Rhinolophus ferrumequinum: one gene and its partner. The protein of the gene in region 1 purifies or fractionates together with the protein of each later gene. This does not show direct contact. Links are inferred from orthologs where the notes say so. Each region holds a gene or a part of one and is shown on either strand. Other genes may lie near its edges.

Region 1 (10,049 bases):
AGATAAAAAACCCCAGTGGCCTGGGGACTTCCCTGACCCATGTCCATGGCAAGCCCACCACCAGGCACTTGCTTCCCAGTCAGCTTAAAACAGAGCAAACAACTTGTTACCCAGAGTTGGAAGACAACATGGGGCTGACCTGCATTTAAACAAGGACCTGGAGAGCACACGAGCTCAGGAGAGCGTGCACGTAAACCCTGCACCTGACTGGTGGTCTCTCCGGTGAAATGAACTAGCTCACAAGGTTGGGAAATACATCAGCCGTTTACAGACATGAAACCCGTGAAAGTTTAGGACAATGCTTGGAACACAGTAAGCAATGTTTTCGTAACTACACTCAAAAACTCAAGATGTATTATGTTCATGTATCTGCTTTTAAAATTAAGATCACAGAACCCAAATCTTAACTACTCAAACTTCTTAGAATTGCTTCATTTCCATACAATGGTCAGCTTGGATAACAGAAAGAGACGGAAAGATAGGTGTAAAAAGGAATAGAGAAAAGAACCATGAGAGCAACCAACACAAACAGTCTGGGAAGCAGACTGGAGGCCAACTGGTTTGCCTGGGCGATTCCATTCTACATGCCCACCGCCATCTACCTGACAGCGACCTGTCTCTGGCCTTCAGTCCTTCTGACCATAACGCTCCAGCACCACAGAAATGCCTGACCTGTTGCTGGAGATGGGCACTCGGAGGCCAAATGGAGTATCAGCTGAAATAAAGCGACCTTATCTTTTCAGTATAAATTCTGTACAAATCCTAAACCCAATTAGTTAGCTTGTCTAGAAAGCTGTGCATTTACAAGGTGCTGGGTTGGGAGCGAGAACACACACCTTTCAGAGCTGCCCCAAAGCACACTCACGAGTGGGCTGCAGTAGTCCGTCAGCTAGCAGGAGCACAGGTCATCTTAAACAACAGCTGGGGAACAGTGCCTCGTGTTCTGGAACCCAACTGTCACTCTCATTTCTTTATTATACTCTTAAGAATTTCAACAGGCCAAACTGGACACAAAGTATTTTTTGCTGCATTTCTTTCTCAAAAGTTAAGAAGAATTCTCTCCACTTTTGTGTTTGAAATTTTCCGTAAGTTGAAAAATCTTTCAAAAAGCAAAGCATCCTTTAATTTCAAGAGGCATGCCCTGTTATAAACTATTTCTAATTAATTTCAACCCTTTATGAATGATACTGAAAATGTTACCTAAAGAATTGCCACTTAAATTTCTAAGAAGTTAAAATTGAGACCAAGCAGAGGGAAGAGGGAAAGAGGCAGGTTCGAGTCACAGCAACGGAGGCATCTACCCCAGAGACTGGAGTCAGTCCCTGGGTTCTTTTTAAAGTCCACTTACTATACAATTAAGTGGCCTGTTCAGCCTGATCTGAGTTTACAAGGTTCACAATAAAAAGCCCAGTTTTTATACAAACTGTGGACGCCTTCCCACAACCTTAAAGTTCTTTACAGGAACAAGAATTCTTTTTAAGAAGCTGCCCGTGCACAGTAAGGGAATAGATGCAGTCACTATACGTGAAGAAACACATTTCCATCATCACTACCAGCCTACACCGCTGGTTACTCCTGACTGATGGATTCCCAATCTGGCTCCCAGAGAAACAGAAAGAAGCAATTCTCAAACTAAATAGCAGATATAAACATAAATACTATTTAATGAACTAAAAAGACACTTAAGAGTCAAAACTTTTATATATGTTTGGCCAAGCACCATAAGCAGTTGAAAATTAAAAGTGAAAGGATGGTTGTAATTCAGACACAACTGTGCAAAAGGGCCAGTGTTTCAGAGAGGAGAGGCTGCTCTGCTCTCAAGCGCTGGACCTCATGGCACCTGTGAGAGGCGCTCGCTGCACGAGACTCAGTCCATTCTCAAAAGAAGCGGTACCTTGGGCATCTCAGCTCCCCTACAGGGGGTTCTCATGAAACACAAAACAGACTTGAACTACTGACCACAACCAAGTGGACTCAAGAAAACTGAAGGTTTGCTTAGTTTTAATTCCTTAGGACCAGGAGCCTCACAGGTCACTCTGGCAAAAACATGACGATTACATGGGCTCCAAAAGGTCTGCCCAGCTGTCACCTAACCTGGCTGGCCTTGGGCTCATGTTAACATTCTCTGTCACACACAATTTTGGAAATAATTCACGTTAAAATCTTGTGTGAATTAGATGTCTTCAAATAATGCTTTATAAAAAAATCAATTGCAGAGTAAATACTGGAGGGCTCAAAATGGCCTTTGAAAATCAAAACTTAGATTTCAAAATACACCAGAAGTCGTGTGGTAAAAACAACACTGGTCTGGGCAGGGACGTCCCCGCATCACTGTCTCCCTGTCAGTTCCCAGCCACCTGCTTGGTGGGAAGCCTTCCCAGGGCTTCACTAGCTTGTGGGGGCTTTCCTGCTTCTCATGCTAACGTGCCTTTTACCTTATGAAACACAGTGACAATAACAGGTAACCCTTTAGAATCATGTTTATAAGTTGGCAAATCTATGTTGGTTTTCTAAACTTTTTCATTTTGCTTGACATTCTTTCCGATTCTGACTCAATCTCAGTGCGATCAGACACATCTCCAATCTTTGTGTCTGAACACGGGACACCTCATTTTCTTGGTGTGTCACTGCTGGCGCCACCTTCCCGTTTTACTATAGAGCAGTCAGTACAGTGATGTGCTGCAAGCCTGTCGAGTTCAAACGGCTAAAAACAAAACAGAAGCAAACGATACAGTAAGATCAACTATCATCAAGTCACTTCAGAAGACAGGCTGTCAGGCAGGAAACAGAAAGAAACGTCTGTGAGTCTAAAGGAGGGCAGAGCACGGCGTGGTCAACACCCCCAAACCCTGGAGAAACGACCTGCCGGAGGAGGAGGGGACCTGCTCCTGGGCTGACCGAAAGAGGGGCCCGGAGAGGAACGTGGCCGAACGGCCTGGCACAGACCCACGAAAGGGCTCCACGAGGGCACAACCTTCCGCCGGGCAGAGACAAGGCACCCACAGCCTGTTCTGGGGACGGCATCACACCCACCGCTGAGGGGACCGCCCGGGGGTGTTCCAGGACCCGGACAGCCGTGGCGGACTCTCAGGGCACCCAGACTTGCTGCCGGGGAACTGTCGCCAGAGACCGCGCCGCTCGTGGGGCGTCCTGCTCCGCGCGACCCTAAATGCCACACCGCCGCACGCACGGCCTCAGCGCCCGCTACACGCCTCTGCCCTCGACCTCCAAACACCTGGCCGCAGGAATGGCCGGCTCCCCAAGTTGTCTTCATCCTGCCCCCCCCACTCCTGGAGAAAAGGCAGTCCGGGCTCCCACGGAAAAGCCTCCCTACGTGCGGGACCACAGGTGTAGAATGGAGACGCCCCCCGCCGACTCCCGCGGCGCACCGGGACCCGGGCCGCGTCCGGGGCCTCGAGCACCTTCGCGCAGCCAGGCCCAGCCGCCCTACCTTCCTCGCTCACGTCGTCCACAAAGTCCTCGGGGTCGCTGAAGGAGGGCTCGTCCGCGTCGCCGTCCTCAGCCGCGCCGCCCAGCTCCTCACCCGCTCCGTCGGACCGGGCCTCAGCTGCCGCGTCCCTGGCCTGTTCCCCAGGGGCCTCGCCCACGGCAGGGTCCGGGGACTCCTCGGGCGACTGCAGGGACGGGGCGGGGGTCGCGCTTGCCGCTTCCTCCCCGTCGGCCGCGGGCTCGGCCGGCACTTCAGGCCCCGGCCCGGCCTCTGCTTCAGCCTCAGCCTCCGCCTCCGCGTCCTCTCCGCCCGCCGCCTCCTGCGCGCCGAGCCCCGCGAGCCGCGGCGGCTCCTCGGCCGGTGGCGGCTCGGCGTCCAGCTGCTGCTGCTGTCCGGGCTCGGCCCGCTCCTCGGCCGCCTCCGGCGCCGCCACGTTCTCTGAGTCCTGCATGAGCCCGCCGCTGCCGCCTCGCCCGGCCTCGCCGCGCTTCCGACTCTCCCAGGCCGCACCGCGCCTACCGCCGGGCCATGTGCGTGCGGCGGGGCATCCCACGAGGATCAGAGGGGTGCGCGTCCACGCCCTGCTGCCTCACAGCGTGGCCGGAGGAACTCAGAGGGCAGAAGTGCGTCTACCAGTGATTACGATCGTGCTCCCCTGACAAGTACGTGCTCAGTTCCAATCACCACAGTTCCTCGGCTCAACGTACAAACTCATTGGGAACTATAACCACCCTACTTTTGGTAGAGGATGGTTTCGCCCAATATGGCAGCCACTCTCGTCCTTCTCCCGTCGGGCGCTACGGCGAAGGACTAAACTATTTATGACGCCGATCGGAGGTACCAGAAGTCAGCTTAGTATTCAGAATTGTGTGGAAGCATAGCTCAAAGATTAATACTAGAAAAAATTGTAAGTTCAACAAACTATTTTGGTTGTGATGTCTCAGCCTTTCACCGGGCAGTTTCGCTTACATTACTGAGTCCCCCCCTTGACATGTCGGTTTTTAGACTCGTCTACTGACTGGGCACAAGAATGGACGATTCCAAAATACAAAAGGAATTCCTGGTAAGCCAGAGATGGCCAGCACTCCTAGAAAGACGCTCTCTAGCGCAATACAAAAGTAAATGAGAGTTGCTTTCATCAGGTATGCCCAAGCCCATCGAGGAGGCTGTAATTCCGCCTTTCCCCATTCTGATGGTCACCATGGTTCTGTCCGCAGAAGCCTGGGCCCTCGGACGCGGGAGCGAGCGCGAACCACGTGCTCGGGGCCGGGGCGGGGCCAGGAGCTGGAAGCTGCCCCCGGTGAGTGACAGGAGGCGGCGCGACAAGTCTGGCTCGGGCTTGCTCCCTTCGGAAAGGGTATTCTGTATTTGTGTCTTGTACTTTGCTTATTGCCAGGCGTGAGGGCAACCGCTCGTTGGAGGTGTTTTAATCATCCAAAAAAAGAACTGAGTGGCTGGGGGTAGAGGACCGGGGAGTTGTTTAATGGGAACAGTTTCAGTTTGGGAAGATGAAAAGTTGCCGAGATGGAGAGTGGTGATGGATACACAACATTGTGAATGTATTTAATGCCACAGAACTGTGCAGTGAAAATGGCTAAAATGGTAAATTTAATGTATATTTTACTTCAATTGAAAAGAAAAAAACGTGTTCTTGTGTTGCCTCATACTAAGTTTGAATCTTCCCCATCTTACTTTCAGCTGTAACTTTGGGCAGGTCACTTGACTTCTCTGCCTCAGTTTCCCTGTCTGTAAAATGGGGAGTAACCCATTTTATGTGCGTGGCCTGTGGACTCGTTTCATAAAGACAAACCGATTCCTCCTAGAGGTCAAAGTTTTCCTAATTTCTAGTTTCATCCGCAGTTTTCACAGATCGTTGGGCTCTGCTAGCCCTTTTCTTCTAGAAAGTGCTAACAGTGACAGATGTGATCGAGGATAGACACTCCCGGAAAGCTTGGAAACAGCTGATGTAGGTTTGGCAGCTTCATGCTTTTCAGGGAAGACCTCTGTGGCATGCACGTGCTACATAGAGTGGCCGCTCACTGCTATTCCCCGGTGAAGGGACTTGGCATGTGCTTTAATGCAGGGAAAGTTATGAATGAACTCATGAAAGGGAAAAAAATATGCGTTTTCCAATATCCGCTAGTGCCCTAGAGCGAGCGCCAACACCCTCAGCAGTGCCACCAGCCTCAAAGGTCTGAGAAGGGCTGCAGCTGATATCCAGGTGGTAGGAGCACCCAAGTGGGTACTCTGCTTCACAGGTGCTGTTTTCTTTACGAGTTGCAGGCTTGTGGCTGCCCTGTGGGGAGCAGGTCTATCGGTGCCTTTTTTCCAACAGGCTCAGATGATGGTTAGATGGTTACCATTTTCTAGCAATAGAATATTTTTAAATTAAGGCATGTACATTATTCTTTTAGACATAATGCTATTGAACACTTACTTAATAGCTGACAGTATGGTGTAAAGATAACTTTTATATGCACTAGGAAACCAGAAAATCCTCGTGACTCGCTTTATTGCAGTATCCGCTTTACGGCTGTGGTCTGGAGTGGAACCTGCCGTACCTCAGATCTGCCTGTGCCTGGTCAGAAAAGAATGTATGATTCTTGCCGTCTTAGAATGACTGTGTGATCGGAGCAACGTTTGTGGGTCCAAACATGACAGAAGTGTGTGTAGTGGTGCATTTGTGATAAGTTCACAAATTCTTAGGTACTCCTTTCAAAAGTGGAAGCCAAACCCTGCTCCCCCAAAGTGGGGGTGGACTTAGTCACTTCTAATGAACAGGATGTGGAAGAAGGGATTTTAGGTGATTTCCATGTCTAGGTCCTGAAAATGATGAGCTTCCACCTGGCTTGGGCTTTCTCTCTCTCTCTCTCTCTCTCTCTCTCTCTCTCTCTCTCTCTCTCTCTCTCTGGTCACTGGCCCTGAAAGAAGCTAGCCACCATGTCCTGAGGACACTCAAGCCATCTGAAGGGGCCCCCATTGGAAGAACTGAGCTCCCTACCCTACATTAGCACCAACTTGCCAGACACGTGAAATGGGAGTGGATCCTCCAGCCCCTGTCAAGCCTTCAGATGGCTGCAGCCCCAGCCATGTCTTAGGACAGGCCTCAGGGAAAACCAACCTTGTCGAAACCTTGTCTTGGACTTCCAGCCTCCAGAGCTGTGAGACATAAATTTCTGTTTAAGCCGCTCTCTCTGTGGTGTTTTGTTATGACAGCCCAAGCACACTCATACGATAGGTAACTATGTAAAATACATAGAAAGAGGCCTGGAAGGATATACATTAAACTGAAGACAGGGTTTGATGATGGTAAGTAGTATTGGTGGTGTTGGCCAAAGAAAAATGTTTACTGTAGAATCTAAGTGAATGCTTTGTGACTGTTCACTGTAAAATTCTTTCAATTTTTCTGAGTGTTTGAACGTTTTTATAGTAAATTTTTTGGGGAAAGGACTTTAAGAGGCCCCCCCCCATTGCAACAATTTGAGCCTCAAAAAGACTAAAAACTCAATATGACATTCATAAAGTATGTTTAAATCCTTTTGTTCATAATGCTATTTTTAAAAAATCCTGTTGATCACAGGGGAATATTGCTGGAGCATTGTCTCGTTATTCTGGAAAGAAAGAAAAGACTCAAGCACACCATGGATGAGCCTTGAGGACATTATGCTAAGTGACTAAGCCAGACGGAAAAGGACAAGCACTATATGATTCCAGTCAGATGAGGTCCCTAGAGGAGTCACTTCATAGAGACAGAAGGTAGAACGGTGGTTATTGGGGCTGGGGAGTGAGTGTTTCACAGAGACAGAGTGTCAGTTTGGGAAGATGGAAACTTCTGGAGACGAACGGTGGTGATGGCTGCACAACAATGTGAATGTGCTCAATGCCGCTGAGCTGGACACTTAAAAATGGTTAAGATGATAAATTTTATCTTGTGTATATTTTACCAAAATAAAATGTTTTAAAAAGAAAACAATTCTTGAAAGCCGTCAGTTCTGGTGGTAGTCCTCCTGCCAGCCAGATGGTAACCTGAGCTGGATGCTGAATTGACGGCCTTAGTCTTTTCCTAGGTGAATCGTCCCCTTTGGGTGTTGGGAGTCGTGGACAGAATTAAGGAATCCGCAGAAGAAACACCTCGCCTCCAGGTGGCGATCTCGGCCCGCCCTCTGCAGGTAATGAAATGGGGTTGCTGTTTCACTCCTTACGTTCCTAACATAGTACGCAGCTCTCAGATGAGTTTCTGTCATTTCTGCAGGATATTTGATCTGAACAGGGCTGTCTGTAAGCTCACAGAGCAGGGAGAAGAGTGAAGAGGGATAGGTGGACTCACAGGGTCCATCAAATATGGCCCACATCATGCACGCTTCTCACTTGACCAAGCCTACCTCTGCCTTCTGCAAAGGCTGATTTGCCCCCTCTCTGCAGATGGGGGGCATGGTCAGGAATCAGACAGCCCTTGTTCGACTCCCGGGGACCTTGAGCAAGTTCTTTATCTTCTCTGAGCCTGTTTCCTCAGTGTGACATACATGACCTTGGAACAAGCTCGAGGGGTCCGTAGGGTGGGGAGCGTTTCCGCCTTGGTCCTCGCTGTACCATGCAGTAACAAACCCAGCTGCCAGGCACTGTTCTAAGACATCACACGGTTTCGCTCAACTAGTTCTCAGGCAGCCCCCAGAAGCGGGGACTGCTAATGCCTCCACTCTGAAGGGGGCGTTCCAGCCAGGGCTGGCTTCAGCCGCTCCCCTCCACTGGGCCCTGCCCCACTCGGCTCTGTTCTATCCTGCCACCTCCCTTTTTCAGAAACAAATGCCTTCACTGTGGTCCTTTGTGCAGAGGGTGGTGGGCACTGGAAAGTGGAGTCTGTGGTGATGTATCCCTCATCAGGAGGGCAGAATCGGGATGAGCTGAACAAACATCCACCTGCAGGGCGCCACACCAAGCCCCGGCACGCCTCTCCCTCCCAGCGGGCAGTATCATTCATTACCGAGGGCCCTGCCGGCGCGCCTGCAAACATCAGCGCATTCCGTCTACGGTGTTAACACAGAGAAAAGCAGACCAGCATACATTCATTTACCTCCATCTGGATTCTTACATGTTTACATTTTGCCATGTTTGCCACAGATTTTCTTTCTAAGGGAAAAAAAAAAGGACTGGAAATCTGTTTTCTCTCCCTAAATTTCTCTCTCTAAATTTCATTTCTCTCCCTTCTCGGAAGATGCCATCATGTGTCTATAAGTAACGTGTACCCTGTGTGGCATTTTTAAATGACATCTTTTTGATCTAATTGTAGACTCACGCGCAGTCGTAAGAACTAATGCCAGCTTGCCCTTACGATGCAGAGCTGTAAGGAACGTCACAACCAGTCCTGACGTTGACACGAGCCACCGATCTTCGAATCGCCGGGGTTTTACACAGCCTCACCTGTGTTTGCCTGTTAATGTTCACAATTAGTACAGTAGCCTCTGCAACGCCTTTTCTCCTCGCAAATGATGTTTTCAAGCTCTGTCCATCTTGGCACGTTCTGTTCTAGCTCAAATGTTGCATGAATACCCTGTAATGTATTATTCATTCCACACTGACATCAAAGTGGGTTGTTTGGGGGGTCTTTTTGGTATTATAAATAGTGCCACAATGATGAGTCTTGTATTTGTCTCCACAAGCGATAGTTTAGAGAACATGACCAGAAGTGGAATTTCCGGGTCAGAAGATATGTCTACATTTCAGTTTATTACATTAACAAATTGTCCTCCAAAGTGTCGAAACCAATTTTCACTCTAGCAGCCTAGGAATATTTGTTTCTCCCCATCTCGGGAGCATCTCGTCGTTTGAATTTGCATTTCCCTGATGTAAGTAGATTTCTGATTTAAGCAGAAAAAGAAATTATGAAAAGCAACTGGGATCTCCAGGTGGGCTGGGAAACCGGGTTCAAAGCTCGGCAGATGAAGTGGGCAGCTCATGCCTAGAGCTGGCCGGTGAACACAACGCTGTCCCATCCCTGTGTCCCTGTGTCACAGTCACACATGGCACTGTGGACAGCAGCCCTGGGTGCTGGTGGAAACGCACAGCCTCTGCTGCCCTTAGACGTGGGGCACAGGTCCTGCAGCGGCCATGAGTTGTCACCGTCATGGACGCCCCCTGCTGCATGACCCCAGCTCCCTTCGGCTGTGAGCCTGGCTGGCTGCAGCTGACATGTCACCTTCTGCATGGGAAGAGACTTTCTCAAAAGAGGAATTCTTCAAACATAGAAAGAAAGGCTCAGATGCTGAATGTCCAAAAAATAATTACAAACGTCCAGTATACCTAACTAACAGTAAAGCTGAACATCTTTTTATATGTTTATTGGCCTCTCAGGTTTCCTTTTCAGTGAATTACATATCCTTTGCCTCCTTGGGGTGGTTCATCTTTTTCATATTGAAGTGGATGAGTTCTTTATAAATCCTGGATTATAACCTTGCAACCTATTGTATGTGTTAAAGTACATTCTTCCAGCCTGTGGCTTATCTTTTCACTTGTTTATGGCGTCTTTCATGATAAAAGCGTGTCATGCTGGCTCTTAGAATCATCAATATTTTTCTTTATTGCTTGTATTTTGTGTACCTCC
Region 2 (9,944 bases), on another chromosome or scaffold:
TTCAAACTAACCCACCAGAATGAATATTTCCAGAGTTTTAAATTAAAATTGTTTATAAATTTAAGTTAATGTGCCTCAAATCCCAATAAAAAAGCACATTTTATAAAAAAATTAAATAAATTGTTACAGAATGGGTGAAATATTCTTAATCCAAATCTTATATCATTAAATCTTATATCCACTTGCCTGTCTGTTCACAGACATTTCCTTATAAGATTAAGTAATTCAGAGGAATTGGGAAAAACGAGTAAACCTGCCCAAAATCTTGGGCTATTTCAAAATGCTTTTTGGTAAGTTGAAGCAGTGATAATGAGTTTTTTTTCCTATAACACTTCATAATCATGAATGTTTGAATACATACTGTCTATATCGCACTGTTTTTCAAAGCACTAAAATTTTTTATACTTTTCGCTCAATAAAAATCTGATATCCCAATCTAAAACTCGTGCAGTAAGCTCACAACTATTTCAAATATTGAATTAGTAGAGTAAAAATTGAGGATTTTTAATATTGCATTTCAATTTTCTATTACTCTTTTAACTTGTCTCCACAGAAAGCAGAGATTTCCAACATTTTCAAAATCTAATGAAAACCTCTAGAAAAAAGCTTTCCCTTACAACTCACTGTCCCCAAATTATACCATCACCAGTGAAAACAAAAACCCAAAAAGACCCCCCCCCCCGCCAACACACACACACACACACACACACACACACACACACACACACACACACCCCCCCCCCCCCCTCTTATCCATTGGTTTTTAATAGTCCTCTGAGGTATTCAATCAGGGTCTTTTTTTGTACTTAAGTAGCAGACATTCAACTTTAAATTACTCTCCTCATCTTTTATTCACTGAAGAATTAACTATGCTATGTAAATACATATTACTTACTAATACAGACCGACTCAGTGTAGGCATGTATCTCTAAATAGGACCAATGATTTAATTTAAAAAAAAAAAAAGATACAAAGCTCTAAAAGTACAGCCCTTCTAGTATAACTGTATTTATTAAGTCTCTAGGCATAGAGGAGAGTAAACTTGAATGATTGGTTCCTTGGCAATGCGTAGCACTGACAAGCTTTATTTCCAAGAACTAGCTAACTGCTTAATATGCCATGATATTTTGGAGTACTGTATACACTTTATCTAATGCAATCATCATTTTACAGAGAAAAAAAAGTGTTAGAGATTAAGCAATTTGTTCTAGGTCACATCGTCAGTGAGCATACCTGGAAGGATCTGAATTCACTTTGACACACCACAAAGAGGTACATTATGAACAAGACTAATAAATGCAATGAAAAAGCTGTACAGTGAAGCTTGCTGAATTGAGTCACAAGACACTACCACCAGTTACCTATATGGCCTTGGGCAATCATCTCTCTGGCCTATGCCTCAGTTTCCTTACTATCAAACGAAGAAGGGAGGCTACTCTGATATGTTACCAATGGTATCTGATATGATACCAATGTTTTAAAAAGTTTGTGTTAAACTAAAGATTATAAATTCACAAGCAGCCAGAATATTACTTATATAATTATAAATTCACAAAAGCCCGATTTTCCAAAAATCTAAACTTGTCTCATTTTTTCAAAATTTTACAATTTTATTTTAGAGGAACCTGGATGTCACTTAATCTCCTTGGGTGGCCAGCCCAATCCCACTCCAACTCTTTTCCACCGTGAGGCACCTATTAGAATAACACACTCAAAAGAAACATTTTCAACTCCAAAAGCATTGCTAAAATATAATATAATTTGCCGAAAGCTTTCTCAAAGTCCTCTTTAATTACCTTTGCTCTTTCCCCAAAGTTCCTCTCCCTAGAATAATGGCCACATTTCTTTCTCTTTCCTATTTCCATCAATTTTTCTGGCCTCCTCTTCCACACCCTCTCACAGTCCTATTTGCTTGTACCCAGCAAAACAAATGTCCAGGAATAGGCCCAAATCCTACGAGGTTCCAGTTCATAACAGGAATCTTAATACAGTATTTTACTTCCAACTCCTTTAACTTCTCCTGATGAACCCATGGCCTGGAAATTCTATCAGTTCACCTAATGAAGATTTTATAAAGCATCCTTCCTATCAAGTTTTCTCCCCTGCCCTGCTTCAAAGCCACTGCCATATGGAGCCAATATAATTGATGAGAGGATTATATATGTAATGAAAGTAATCCCATTTTGTTTCCAATTGTAATTAGTGTATCACATGTTCAATTAAGAGGCAAACTGGAATTCCATATGCAAACATATTAAAAAATACACATCTCAATACCCACCTTCCAAACTGTGTAATTTTGATTTAGACTCATTTGATTATGAAAAGATCAACTATTTTAGCCCAGTTAGTTTCATCAAGCTTCCAAAGTTCTGTATACATAGCATCTCAATCTTTTGTCAACAAGCAGGGCACAACTTACTTGCCAGAGGAAGAAAAATGAGTGAGGGAAAGAAAGGGAAGCCCCTTATGTAGTTAGAACAAACATCTTACATCAGTCATCAACCCATGTGTACTCATCTAGACAATGGAATTTAGACTCTAAATTACCACGAGATTATACATGATCAATTGCCCAGAATTAGTTATTTTGTATAACAACACCATTCTTTAACTTAGGTATAATTTGTGATTTTTTCAATAAATTTGTCTTGAAATACGAGTGCTATTCCATAAAGAATAACAAGCTACTAAGACAGCAAAGGTGAAACCAAGCTATGCATTAGGAAAAACAATTCTAAATTTAGCACCCTAAATTACAGCAAGGAAAGCCCTCACACCACCATTCACAAGTCTCCGTTCAAGCAATTTATTTTTGGCAAGCCAAATCACAGCTGTCAACGCTGGGTTTTTTTCCACCCCAAAATTACAGAAAGTATTTTGAAAAAATGTAGACATCTTCAACTGGGGGAAATGTAAGTTACAAACACCGTGTGTCGTTATAAAAGCGTTTTTTAAAAAGTCACACGGAAGGGGGTTAAAAAAAAAAAGCAAACAAACAAACCCTGGAAGATGCAGCAGAGCCCCCTTGCTCCCGAAATAAAACTCCTGGTGGCTGTAACAGCAGAGGCAGCGCTACTCCCGACAGAAGTTTTCAGCTGTCACTTCTAACAGCTGAGCGCTTCCTAGGAGAGAAGCGACAGGCCGAGAAGAGAGGTGGTTGTGGGAGGTCTGAAGATTTAATGCTTGAAATCTTACACTCGGAGGGAAACCCTTCCGCACTTCACCTGCACTTACGGGACACCCAGCAAGCGCAGTCCCCCTCCCCCAACACACGCTACACCACTCACGGCCCGCCACACTCAAGTCGAACAGCTGGAGAAATCGACCACGCGCCTTTTCGTTCGCTCCACAGACTGCTCCGGGCTGCGCTGATCTAGAGCTAGGGGCGCGACCTGCACCTGCGAGCCCCGCAGCGGCCTCACACCTAGGGCCAGGTCCGCCCCGCCCGCTCCCCTGCCTCGGGCCGCGCGGCGCTTCAGCTCCTCCTGGAGACTTCTCGCGCCCCCTGGGTCTCTGCGCTCTCGGACGCGCCCGACTTCCAGGGCCCGCGCCGCCGCCCCAGCCCTGTCACCTCGGGCCCCCCGGGACCTCGGGCCTCACCCCCTCCTCCAGCTCATCCTCAGAGCCCGCGTCCTCTGGCTGGTCCAGGTCTATGTCAAACACTCCTGCCATGTCCTCAGCTTCCCTGTCTCGGAAGTCCGGCGCTGGGTAAAAGCCGTCCCGCCTCCGTCGTCGCCTCATGGGCCCGGACCCGCCGCAGCCACTGCCGCCGCTGCCGCCATCACCGGCTGCTTAGGCTCAGTGCGTCTGCGCCTAGGCCTTAGACTTGCTCCTCAAATTCAGCGCTAGAGCATGCGTACAGGGTTTTTTGAAGCCGAACTGTGGGCAATGAACATGCGTAGAACTATCCCCAAGAGCCAGGTACGGGCAGAAACATGCGCAGAACCCCAGCCGAAGCCTCTCTTGGAATCTAGACCATGCGCATTGTCAGCTAAAGCTTTTGATGGACAGTGAGCATGCGTAACGTGTCTGAAGTTGATAAATTGAAATTGAACATGCGTAATTAACCTTTCTGAATAGGGAAAAAAAAAAAGCCCACAACACTCTTCGTTTGTGGAACATGCGCATTCGTTTTCCATAGCTTTTTGGGTGTTGAAAGTGAGCATGCGCATGATGGTCCTCTGAAGTTTGAACAGGATAGAAACGGCTGGTCCTGGGGCTGTCAGTGAGTGGGCTTAATGGGGAACTCCTAGGGTTGGTGGGGAAAGGGAGTCTTGGTTTTGCTATTTACTAGTTCAGTAGCCTTGCGAAAGTCACATAACCTTTCAGAAACTCAGTTTCCTTATCTATAAAATGAGAATCATGGTACCTAGTTTGCAGGGTTGTTTGAAAATTGTAACTGCAGAGTGTGACTCACAAGCCACTGCTCTTTTCACTGCTGCATAGACCTGGTGTGAGGCGTTCACCAAAACTTGTTTCTTTTCATTGTTAAAAAATAATGAAGACCTGCTCTAATGTTTCATCTGGTCTAGTTTTTCCAAGCTTCATCTTCCTTGCTGTCCTACCTGAGCTAAACACAAAGTCTTCCTTATAAGTGTTACTGTAGTTACCAGGCCAGAAAGGTGATTGGTGAAGAAAGTCATTATTCAGAAGAGAATTAATGTTAAGTACATGTACTAACTTCTGAACTAATTTCTGCATTCTGTGTGTTCCTATGGTGGGAAATGTATAGTATTTATTCCTTCAACTAGCATTCATCTTGTTTTGTTTAAATGTATACATAGGAATATAGTGATTAGAAATCAGATTTTGGAAACTATTGAGCTGTGTGTGAATGGATTTGGGTACAGTAAATCCCAAATCCCAAAGCCATATGGAGAAAGAGAATAATTTCCTTGAATGATTGGCATCTTAGACAACATAGCTATTTCATCTATAAAACCATATACATATATGGCATTTTAAAATTATATATATTTTATTGATGTATATTAACATATAGCATTTTATTCTTTATTAGTAATGTAGTTCTCAACACCTATCTTTTTTCTATTACAGGTTGGTTCCTCACTTTTTTGAGGAAATAGGCCTAGTTTGTCAGGCCTCAACATGTCAATAGTAACACTGCAACTTGGTCAGTGTGGCAATCAGATTGGTTTTGAAGTGTTTGATGCTTTATTTAGTGACTCACACTGTCCCCAGAGACTCTGCTCTAAAAGAGAGAATGAAGCATATCAAGCGTCTTGCAAAGAAAGATTCTTCAGTGAGGAGGAAAATGGAGGTATGTGTGGTCCACAGTCCTCTTTTACTCTGACATAACCAACCACTTCAAGGCCAGGCCATCCACGTGGTGTCTGAACCCCATACTTTCCCATCTTACTAGGGAATGACTTTGCTCTTGACTCTTTGTTTCTATGTTAACAACATTTGCCCCTACCGTGGCATCTTCCCCTCAGCACAAGAGCATGCTCAGACCCTGCCAATCTAAAAACAAACAAAACGTATCTCTCGTCTATAGCTTTTTTCTTCTCTTACCTTTGCTTCTCATCTAAGATTCTCAAAGGAGAACCCTCTTTAACCAACTATAATCCTGCTTCTGCCCTTCTTCACTTCTAAAGCTGCTCTGAGAAAAGTTCCCAATGATCTCCTAATTACCAGATCCAATGACTATTTTTGTTTTAATTCACTTAACTTTTCTACTGGATTTGATAACATTAATTATAAAACTCCTCCTTACTGTCTGAAGTTTTCTTCTCCAGTGGTTGCACCGCAGGCTCTCTGTCCTGATTTGTATAGTTCTCTCTAGGCAATTTCAATTATTCTTCTAAGTGCTACATCTTTTACACTGGTGACTCTCAAATCTCTAGCCTAGCTTCTCTTCCAAGCTGCCGACTGATTAGTGGACATACTCACCTGCATCTCCCATGTGTACCTCAAATTCAACATCTCCATACCCAAGATCATTCATTATCTTTCCTTTAAAACTTGGGCTCCTACTATACACATAACATCAGACATCTGCTTAATTTACTTCCTCCATATCTCTTGAAATTCTTCTTGCCTTTCCATCTTCACTGTCATGGACTTAGTTCTGGCTCTTGTTTTCTCTCACCTGGATTGTTTCAAGACAGTCCTTCTGAGTTTCCCTGCCTACACTCTTGTGTCTATCATAGCTATCCTCCACACTGCTGTATTAAAAAAATTTTTTTTTTAAATCTGACTGTTCCTCCCCTGCTTGAACATTTTCAGTGGTTTCACATAACGTAAAAGATAAATTTCAAGCTTTGATTGCATACAAGGACTTTCAAGATCTGAGTCCTGCCTGCTTTCCATCTCCGTCCATCACTTCTACCCCCTCCTTCTCCATCTTTTGCTTCAACAATCCTAAACTGCTTGTGTGCCCTGGGTATTTTGTACCTCTGAATATGCTATTCTATCACTGTAGATTCGTCATGGGTCATATCACCTGATATAGTGATTAAGCGTCGATGTCTTTCATTTCTCCCACTAGTCCTTCTAGGGCTGGATTGATCTTCATCTCTGTGTTCCCAGCACAGTACATGTTACATTATGTAAGAATGCAACAGATGTTTGTAGACCTGACCCAGTGATTATTTTAGCCCACACTGATTCATCCTGCTTAGCAGAATGCTAGGCATTCTGAACCATCTGTACATACCTGCTGCTGCCCACCTCAATTTCTAAGCAGTGTGACAGATCTTTGTATCCTCAACCTTTGGGGTTTTTTTTTGTACTTAGGAGTTTATGCTCTGTGTTAACCCAAATAAGACTGTGAAATATTTTTCCCCCCTCTCTAGTTCCAATTGCTCGAGCTGTACTTGTTGACATGGAACCTAAAGTTATCAATCAAACATTACTAAAGGCTGCCCAGTCTGGCCGATGGAAATATGGCCAGCATTCAGGCTTCTGTCAAAAACAAGGTTCTGGAAACAACTGGGCATATGGGTAAGAATAACTCATGATTTTCAGTTTAGGTACAGCTACATAGTCAATTAATAAATAGTGTAGTTACAAGTAAAAAGTTGATATACTGAGCAAAGAATCTTTAAATTGCTATTTTAAAATTTAGGGTGTGACTTCACTCAAAAGAAATTCTACCTTACGTATGTATATGCTTCAGGTCCAAACAATGATGAAACCAAGGATCTCTTGCAGTAGGGTTTTCCACTTCTTCACAGTCGTTCTGCCAACTAACTTATTATCAATATAATATCTTTATCTGGCAGGTATTCCAGCTAATATGGGATACAGCAGGGCAGTAGTGTTTCCTGGGTTCTTTGGAAAATTTCAGTGCCTAGGGCTCAATTCGAGAAATTCTGATTTAATTGGTTTGACATGAAGCCTGGATGTTGGGATTTTTCAAAGCTTCCTTAGGTGATTGGAATGTGCAGCAAATTTCAAGAACCACTGTTTAAGGTGTATTGTTAAGAACATCGAATATTATGTTGTACCATAAACTTACAGAACTACCTGGTAATTGAAGTCTACAGCTAAAGGAGTGGCCTATAAAAGAGAATTTCTGTACCCAGTAAATTCACTCTCTTAACAGTCCTATCTACCTGTTAAATATCTTTAACTTGAATATTTTAAATTTTGTGCCTTTCATGAGAGTTAGTTCACTTCCCTAGGTTTAAAAAGACTTCTCTATTCTGCATTGCATCTCTCTGGTTAAATTGAAAGGTGTTTGCATTTGTTCCTTTTGCATTGCATAGTTACTCTGTTCATGGACCCAGGCATGAAGAACCTATATTGAACCTAATCCAGAAGGAAGCGGAGAAATGTGACTCTTTGAGTGGTTTTTTCATCATAATGAGTATGGCTGGGGGTACAGGATCAGGACTAGGAGCCTTTGTTACACAGAATTTACAGGATCAGTACTCCAGCTCTTTGAAAATGAATCAGATTATATGGCCTTATGGAACTGGTGAGGTATGAACTGAATTTTTTATATTTTGTATTCCTTGCTGTTGAAATCAATGTAGGTAAAAGACTGATCTGACCCTTTCTTTGGAAATGCTAAGTTACTGTGTCAGGAGTGATTATGCAATATGGTAGTTGCGTGAACAATTCATTTAACTTTGCTTTAACTTTTCCAAACAAATGAAGTGTCCCTGTTTTTAAAATTTTCAAAGAAGACAATTGTGCATTTTCTCTTAGGAATCCATTCCTGAGTTAATCCTTCTGTCTCTAGTATGTAAAGCAGGGACCTTGACTTCATGTTAGGGGGCATCATGCCATTGCCAACCTTCAAAGAATTTTCATTTCTCTCCATTACAAGGAAATTTCTATATAGGCCCATTTCTTGTTGACCAGCCTAGTAGGAGAAATACTAAAACAGAGGTGAGATAAGTCACTATTGTAAATTATGTAGGAAGAAAGTGTGATAGTAATGGTCATCGTTTATTGAACCCTTAGTATATACAAGGCACTGTTCTAAGTGCTTTCCTTGCATTTTGTCATTAACCTTCACAACTCTAGGAAGCAGGTATAATTATTATTCCCATTTTACAAATGAGGAAACTGAGGCATAAATAGATTAAATAATTTGTTCAAGAGCATACAGCTAGACAGTGACAGAGCCAGGATTTGATCCTAGGCAGGATGCCCTTAATATCGAACCTCTTAATTGCCTTTCTTATTTCTGACCTTTTTCTCTCCAGGTTATTGTTCAGAACTACAACTCCATTTTGACTCTTTCCCACTTGTACCGATCTTCAGACGCCCTCCTTGTTCATGAGAATGATGCTGTTCATAAGATCTGCGCAAAACTGATGAATATCAAGCACATCTCCTTTAGTGATATAAATCAAGTCCTCGCCCATCAGCTGGGAAGTGTGTTCCAGCCTACTTATTCTGCGGAAGGCTCATTTCACTACAGAAGAAACCCATTAGGTATTTGTCTTTCTGTATTTTATCTGTAGGAAAGTCTTATGTTCCGAATGCCTCAAAGTTATTCTTCATTGGCTCCTCCCCTCTGCCTGAAGATACACCCAGGTCTCCCTCATCTCAAAAACCTTCCTTAAAGAGCTTCTTAGCGCTCTGAAAAGTTTTGAGAAGTTACTAAATTTCTCAAAAGAGTGGTTAATACCCACTTTCTCCATTCTTTAGGATCCTCTCCTTTTTTTTTTTTTTACAAAAACTTTGAGATATAATTCACATATCCTACAATCCACCCATTTAAAGTGTTTTGTGTTTTTTTTTAATATTCACAAAGTTGTACAACCATCATTTTCATCACTCATAAAGAAACCCATCGTTGCTTTTTCAGCTTATTTGGCAAGTGATGCCTTATCAATTCAAATCATTTAGACGTAAATGACTCCATAATCTGTATCCCCCCCCAGTTCTAATCTCTTTTCCAGATAGTTACCTGTCCCAGTTTTCTCAGTTGCCTTCTGCTTTTTCAAATTTAGCATGTTCTGAATGGATTCATCATTTGTTTCCCTTCTTCTCTCCCCGCCGCGTCCCTCAATTCCTATCACCTGATTTCTCCCACTGTCCTCATATCTCATCAGTATGCTCAGACCTGTAGGTGCCACCTGTGCCATCTGCATTCTTCCCCTAATTCCATATCTTTCTAACACTGGTTCAGAGTATCAGTATCTCTCAACTAACATTGCATACGAATACAAGGCAAACAAGCCTCTTTCTAGTCTCCTTCTATTTTGTGACATAAAAACATGCTTATATCTACTGTGTTTTCCCAAAAATAAAACCTAGCTGGACAATCAGCTCTAATGCGTCTTTTGGAGCAAAAATTAATATAAGACCCGGTCTTATAGTAAAATAAGACCAGGTATAATATAATACAATATAATATAATATAATATCGGTATATAACATAATATAATATAATATAATAATATAATACCAGGTCTTATATTAATTTCTGCTCCAAAAGACGCATTAGAGCTGATTGT

The links.
Region 2: the proteins of EIF3B (region 1) and RPS6KB1 purify together in Homo sapiens (affinity purification with western blotting; 3 studies listed by BioGRID and IntAct, with this or other methods). This does not show direct contact. The link is inferred for Rhinolophus ferrumequinum from reciprocal best matches to the Homo sapiens genes EIF3B and RPS6KB1.

What each region holds. Positions count from the first base shown.
Region 1 is NC_046307.1:43,407,489-43,417,537, forward strand, and holds the start of EIF3B (eukaryotic translation initiation factor 3 subunit B), read right to left. Parts: upstream 3,945-10,049; 5' UTR 3,903-3,944; coding exon 3,452-3,902; intron 1-3,451.
Region 2 is NC_046304.1:26,276,298-26,286,241, forward strand, and holds the start of RPS6KB1 (ribosomal protein S6 kinase beta-1), read right to left. Parts: upstream 3,884-9,944; 5' UTR 3,745-3,883; coding exon 3,604-3,744; intron 3,126-3,603; exon of another isoform or gene 3,005-3,125; intron 1-3,004. Other genes in the region: TUBD1 (tubulin delta chain), read left to right, coding at 5,113-5,284, 6,822-6,969, 7,737-7,953, 8,685-8,916. UniProt on the Homo sapiens protein: Serine/threonine-protein kinase that acts downstream of mTOR signaling in response to growth factors and nutrients to promote cell proliferation, cell growth and cell cycle progression.